Kluyveromyces lactis: one gene and its partner. The protein of the gene in region 2 purifies or fractionates together with the protein of the main gene of each other region. This does not show direct contact. Links are inferred from orthologs where the notes say so. Each region holds a gene or a part of one and is shown on either strand. Other genes may lie near its edges.

Region 1 (2,816 bases), on a different chromosome or scaffold from region 2:
CTACTATAAATATCATGTTATATACAGAGCAAATAAACTGAATCAAAGGTCACTTGTTTTATTTCCCGAGTTTCCAACTCTGTTCTCTTCCGGGGTTTATTATATACCTAAAGATATATATATATATATTATAAACATGCTGAGCTGTATTTATGACATGGTACACAGAGTTACGGGTAAAATGTCTTCGTAGCGGGAAGTTATCAACGCAACCATGCTGCTCTCTATGAGTTCATCCTGCTCAATTTCTACTGTTATTGTTTTCTATCTACGGTAAATTCTTTTCCCAACGTAATATTGAAGAAACGTGATTCGTTTCCGTGTTTGTGTTCCCCCCTTGTGTCGTTTTCTGTAAGTTATACCCGTAGTTCAATGCAAGGAACCGAAATAGCCTGAAGAACAACAAATATGATGAAGCAAGAACGTGGGGTGCACACGCAAGGCATGCCCGCGAGGCATGTTTGCGACACAAACGTAAATAAGAACTAAGCAGTGCGTGAATGTTCGGGATGGATCAGTTGTTTCGAATTACTACAAACTGTGAAGCGGGTACATGTAGGGTATGTAATATATGTGTTATTTGATAGGCCTGTACTTACATGGTAACCCGACCTTTTCTAGTGATTATGGTCAACTGTGTTATCATATAACCATGTAGGTTGGATTAAGGGGAGGGACTGGTGGAAACCTCGTGAATGGAATTTTGGATTCAATGGGAAAAGGTTATTATATTATTGATCACGTGGTGTCATTACTGGAGTCATGAATTGTCCTCAGTTTGTCCATGATACCACACGCATAGGGTCTCATCTCATTGATTTCCATCAAGGACAAGTTCTCTAGCTGTAAATGCGATTCGTTCAGGTACTGCAAACCCTTGTTGACTTTTCCCAAACGAACTTCTCGCAGATCTTGGACCTTAGATCTCAGTAGATGAACTGGATCCTGAAAATCATCGCTGCATCTGGCAAACAGCAGTGACGATACCACTAGCCAATTCCAGGGTAGATTGGAGAATCGTGATGGGTTTTTCAATTCAAAATCTAAATACTTCTCCAGCTGTTGTAACGTCAGCCAACTGGGTACCACGACGTTACACTTTCCCTGTTGTTTTAACAGTAAAGCCAGCCATAACGTGACTTCGCAACTATTCATTGCAACCATGTTATTTACCGTAGAATCATCGCATGTGATCAGTGACCATTGGGCGCCAGGATCCTTCGCGAGCTGTTTTTTGGTCTTCCTCGTAGTGATTCTGGGCATAATTCGTGTCGGTTCATTTTCAATTAAAAACTGTATCTCTTGGGGAGAAAATCCTATTGATAGATCTCTCGGTAGTGCCATCTCTATTTCAGGTTGGAGTTGCTAATCTATAGTGTCCTCAAGCTCACTACTTCCTTACATAGTGCTTTCAATGCGCGACTATGACCAATCGATATCTGTGCTTCAATTATTTTTCCATGTTCAATCTTGACATTGAAATCCAGCACAGGAAAAACAAAAACAGGAAAGACTAACTAAAGCTTTAAACTGGCAGTTTTCTCTGATGACTTGACTCATTGATAAAACTAGAATAAATGATGGTTTTATACACTTTCCATATTTGCAGATAAATGGTTTGATCTCATCATATAACGTCCAAAGGCACATTTTGTGGGCTAGTGCTATGATCAAAACATGGATTAGGTGTTTGACCACAGAGGTCAGATACCATCAACCTAATGCTCATGGCAGGAGTTTGGTTATGAGCGTTTTGAATTCTACAGTGACTAAAAGGGAAGCGAAAGACTATTTGAACAAATATACCGATGAGAATAATCATCACTACTGTCTTGTATTTTTGAGACATTTGTCCGAATATTCAGATAACGTACTTAGTGGGTTTAGCAAGACTGTGTCAAGAATTCAAACACTCGGACTAAGACCAATTTTAATAGTAGACCCGCTATGCCAAGACATATCATACCAAAGTCAGCGTTTGGACAATCATTTGCATGATCAGAGTCTGAAGTCAATAATCGTATTAGATCCCATTACCATCGGTGAACGTGGCTCAATTGACGTAAAACTTCCGATTTTGAACCCGCATATTATTCCGATTATTGAGCCATATCAGTACCATGAGAAGGAAGCTTTTAAGAAATTGGCTGGCGATCCATCTCGATTCTTATCATCTCTAGTGAGTAACTTGCCCATAAATATCGACAAGGTGTTCCTTATCAGCAAGTATGGTGGATTGCCGTCTGTGGAAAGACATACAAACAGCCATGTCTTTGTAAATTTGTCACAAGAATATCGAGAATTGAGAAACAGTTATCAAAATCAATTGGAGAAACTAGAATCTATTCAAGTGGATAATACTGAGAAGAATTTGGTAGAATCTCTACAATTATTTTTGAATCAGGATAAGATTCTTAGTAACAGCGATCAACTGAAATGTCATATGGAAGACCTTGAAATCATGAATAAAACGCTATCAGTTCTACCACATTCGTCTACTGGGCTAATTACCACTATTTTAGCAGGGTCCAAATTATCAGATAATAACCCATTGGTATATAATATCTTGACTGATCGTTCATTGATATCGTCATCTTTACCTCGATTCAAAAGATCGGCTGCGGCTCAATCGAAAAGCTGGTATGAGCTTCCATCTTCCAACGTGGAAGAGGAAGTCACTTCCGCAAACGATTCAGTTCTTGTGACTACAGTTTTCAAGAAGGGGATTGATATCCATATATTTGACTTCAGGACTTTGACCGATGATAATTCCATAGGTCTACCACCATCGCAAGCTACTCAAACTGGCAAATCTG
Region 2 (3,944 bases):
CAATGGGTACAGGAAATGCATGGGCAAGCTCTTTGAAGTTGATGGATCCAGCTGTCATATTCTCACAATTTGTCAATGGTAAGTTGTCCTGCAACGATTTCCCGTTGTATAGGGCAACTTTTGACAACGGTTATGTCCTTAAATTCTTCATAATTTTGTCACTGGGATTTCATGCAAATTTACTTCATCTCTGCGAAGAAGATGAGTACCAGAAAATGGGCATTGAAAGGTTTAGAGTTGCTAGCCAGCGAATTTTAAGAGAATACAAGCTCGAATCTCGCGTCTCTATTCCCGATATTCTGGAAGGATCTTTTAGTTATTTTGCGTTAATAAATACCACAAATCTGGAGCCAACTTATATGCCATCTCCCGATTCTGATCCATTGGAATCACAACTACATGTATTGGCATACCAGTCTTCTCTGGATAGAGTAGAATTCCAGAAAAGGGTATTTATGGGTTATTCAAATACGAAGCATTCAAACATCTTACAGAATGGAACGTTTTACAGACCACTGCCATTTTGTTTTAACGTCGAAGTACTAGACGATCCGTCACAAAAGAGCAACTTTGAAGTTTGCTGTGATGGGCAACTTCTTAACTTACTAGAGTTAGAGGGAAAGAATACTCCACCATCCACGATAAGAATTGAGACTTGTACGGAGCCATCATTAAAAGTACTACATTCTTTATAATATATTAAACCTTACATTATTGTCTATATAATTTCCAAATCATCACTTGAGCCTTCATCTTTATCGAGCCGCTCTTGGCTGCCTTTCATTATTTCATTGAAGATAGCGTTTCTCTTTTCAATTTTCTCTTTCAATTGTTTCTTCGAAGGTTTCAGGCTAACATTATCTTTCTTTATATTGCAAATATCCGTTATCGCCAGCTGTTTATCATTCTTTGGCGCCTTATTCTCTGTAGAATATTCAAGCATCTCTAAAGACGCTTTCCCTTTTGTTGGGTCATAACCAATTTGGTTCGCTAAACCATGTTGGAACATGCTCAACGTCGCAGTCTTTTTTGCTTCTTGATTGACTCGGTCTTCCTTCTTTGACAACAATTTGTCGGATAGACCCTTTAACTTTTTCTCCAAGTTTCGATTGTTTCTGAGTTCTTGAATTTTGCGTCTTTTGTTATCAAGGTTGGCCAGTATGTCAGGATTTTCGTAGTCGTCATCGAAAAACGCGGTAGAGGCATTTGCAGAACTGAAGAGGAATCTGTTGGTCTCTGCAGCTGCCGGTTCTCGTACAAACGGTTTATCAGGATTTTGTTGATATCTTATGGATGTTTTACCATTATTGTGTTGTGATTTTACAATAGTCTGTTGATATCCTTTGACAACTGGCGCTCTCATTGCCACAGAGCTACTAATTTCAACTCTTCTAGAACTGTTTTGCCTCATTTTTGCCTCTTTATGATATGCACAGTAGTTATCATGCAATTTGTTTATTGGCGCACCACATAGCTTGCCTTTGTTCTTCATGTAAAATTGGCACAATCCGAATTCCTTACTGTGACCTAGTTCCAGTATATTATTGGTGTCTTTACTAACTTTTAACGAAAATGTAGCGTAACTAGGGCTTGCTCCCGCTTCCAGTTTCTTGGAAGGCATTATTTCAGGGTTAAGTATAGCAATCAAATCACCTAATCTTAGTTTGTAATACTTTTCAACTATACTTTTCCCAAAGAAAATAACATTCAGTTCAAATTGGAAATCACTTATGGTTAGGCTGAAGAATTTCACCGGTTTCACAGAATTTGTCATTCTTGGTTCAGTTTTCTTTGAGATGATACCCAATACCAACCAATTGGGATAATCAGGTTCAGAGAACTTAGGGGCTCTCACCTTACTGAAGAGCTTTGGAAGTCGAAGCACTTTTATGTTTTTAGTATGTTTCCTAAGTACGGCCAACGGTACATACCTTCTGTCTATAACCAGACCACTCAAATCATCTTTTTCATCAACAGTAATTGGTTCATATTCATCGAACATGTCGCCATTGAATGTGTAAACTCGATGTGCCAATAATTCTTTCTTCCTTTTAATCGCTTCATGTTCATTTGTATTGATGGAGCGAAGTTTTTCAGTAAAGTAAGAAGTGGTACCCAACTTTTTGACCTTTTCCCTTACATAATCCTCATTAACATTAAATGTAGCTTCCTCTATATCTGCTACTGGCGCAATATGTTTGATATCCTCTATTCCTTTTGTAGCATTATCTGATTTCTTAGGAGACTCTGGAACGTCGATAGAATCGAAATTAGGGTCTTTGAGGTTTCTCTTCTTCTCTAGTTCCAACAGCCGGTTAGTTAAATCTCGTTTCTCAGTGTCAATTTCAACAATTCTTCGTTTCACTTTGATTTAATGATTGGTTATAATATGTTAGTAGGATATTCTAATGTCATTGATCTCGGTAACCATTATTATTAGAACATACCTCTTTCGATTTCAGATTCATCATCAGATAATTCCTCGTACGGGTCGAACGCCGTAATTTCTCTCGGGTCAGTTAGATCATATGACATGATGCATCTTCACTGTTACCTATACTCGATAGCTTCTGTAACTATTCTCGTTCATTCTTTACTTGTGGGATGTCATTATTTTGTTTTCTCGTTTGAATATCTGTGGAAAGTAATACTAGTATTTTTTACATGTTGAAAACGAATGGTCAAATAATGATACATAATAGAAAAAAATTAAATAGAACTTCGGTAATATTAACAGCCATAAAATCGTCTGGAGAATCAGGCTTCCTGACCATCCTCAGTATCACTTTCAGGCTCTTTGTGACGTTTCTCAGGCTGTTCTGTTGCGGTGTCGTCTATGGGTCTCTTATTAGGAGAAATTTCTGACGTTGAGAAGGGACTAGTGAATGTTGAATGAGAGCCAAATACAGGGGCCTGGAATGCTGCACTCATATTAGAAGTGTCATTCTCTACAGGTTTAATTGTGGACTTTTGTTGTTCTAAATTCCTGATCTTGCTTTCCAAAAATTTCAATTTCAAGGAAACTTGCTGTTTCCCTTCTTCGAAAGATTTTTGTTTTATTTCTGCCAAATCTGCTTCAAATTGCTTACGCATGGAATCCTTAAGTGCATTCAATTCTGCACGATGCTTTTCTAGAGTAATGGCATCATTTCCGATCTCTCCTGCCAATTTTTGGGCCTTTTCGTTTACCTTTTCTTCAAAGGACTCTTCTAAAACAGCTTTTCTTGCCTCAACTATTTTATCAATCTTTTGTTGAGTAGGTAACCTGATCCGTTTCTTGAGGGCTTCTTCTGCTAATTTAATTTTTTCCAGAGTCTGCTTCTCATATTCTTTTTCCCATTCATTCTTCAAAGCATCGATGTCTATATCCAAGGTAGGCTGCGAAGGAGACTGGACAGTAGTCTTTTCGCACTCTTCACGAATTCTCTTTTCTCTTTCTTCAAACTGTTTCCGGAGCTCTTCCTCTCTGGAATTCCAAGCAGATTCTTTTTCTGCCTCAAACTTGCTCCTCAATTCTTTTTCTTTATCTTTTATTAATTGTTCTTTTTCAGCTTCAAATTCTGTTTTCAAATTATCCACTATTGACTTCGTGTCTTCGTTGATAACTGGCGTATGATGTTCAGCTACTATTTTTTGAGCGTTGGAGGCTTCGGCTTCAAGCTCCTGTATTTTACTATTTAACATTTCCACAGTCTCAGTCAACGATTTTATTTTTTCATCTGAATCTGCATTATTCTGTTCGGTCTTGGAAGCATTTTCCATTTGAACCTGAATAGAATGTAGATCTTCCTGCAATTTAGATAATTGAGAGTTAAAAGTCTGTTCCTTTGTTTCTGCTTCTTGCGTTACCACTTGTAATCTTTCTTCTAACTCTTTGCAAGCGGTCTTACATTTTCCTAAATCGGCCTCCACTTGAGATTTAGCTTCATTGATTTGGTTTATTT

Evidence for each region.
Region 1: the proteins of MCM10 (region 2) and PSF2 purify together in Saccharomyces cerevisiae (affinity purification with western blotting; 3 studies listed by BioGRID, with this or other methods). This does not show direct contact. The link is inferred for Kluyveromyces lactis from reciprocal best matches to the Saccharomyces cerevisiae genes MCM10 and PSF2.

Annotation. Positions count from the first base shown.
Region 1 is NC_006040.1:557,860-560,675, forward strand, and holds PSF2 (DNA replication protein PSF2), read right to left. Parts: upstream 1,345-2,816; coding exon 739-1,344; downstream 1-738. Other genes in the region: ARG2 (acetyl-CoA:L-glutamate N-acetyltransferase), read left to right, coding at 1,667-2,816. UniProt on the Saccharomyces cerevisiae protein: Functions as part of the GINS complex which plays an essential role in the initiation of DNA replication by binding to DNA replication origins and facilitating the assembly of the DNA replication machinery.
Region 2 is NC_006037.1:50,547-54,490, forward strand, and holds MCM10 (Mcm10p), read right to left. Parts: upstream 2,536-3,944; coding exon 2,448-2,535; intron 2,365-2,447; coding exon 719-2,364; downstream 1-718. Other genes in the region: KLLA0_A00550g (uncharacterized protein), read left to right, coding at 1-695; MLP2 (Mlp2p), read right to left, coding at 2,758-3,944. UniProt on the Saccharomyces cerevisiae protein: Required for DNA synthesis. Required for entry into or completion of S phase. Involved in DNA replication and seems to participate in the activation of the pre-replication complex (pre-RC) and in transcription elongation.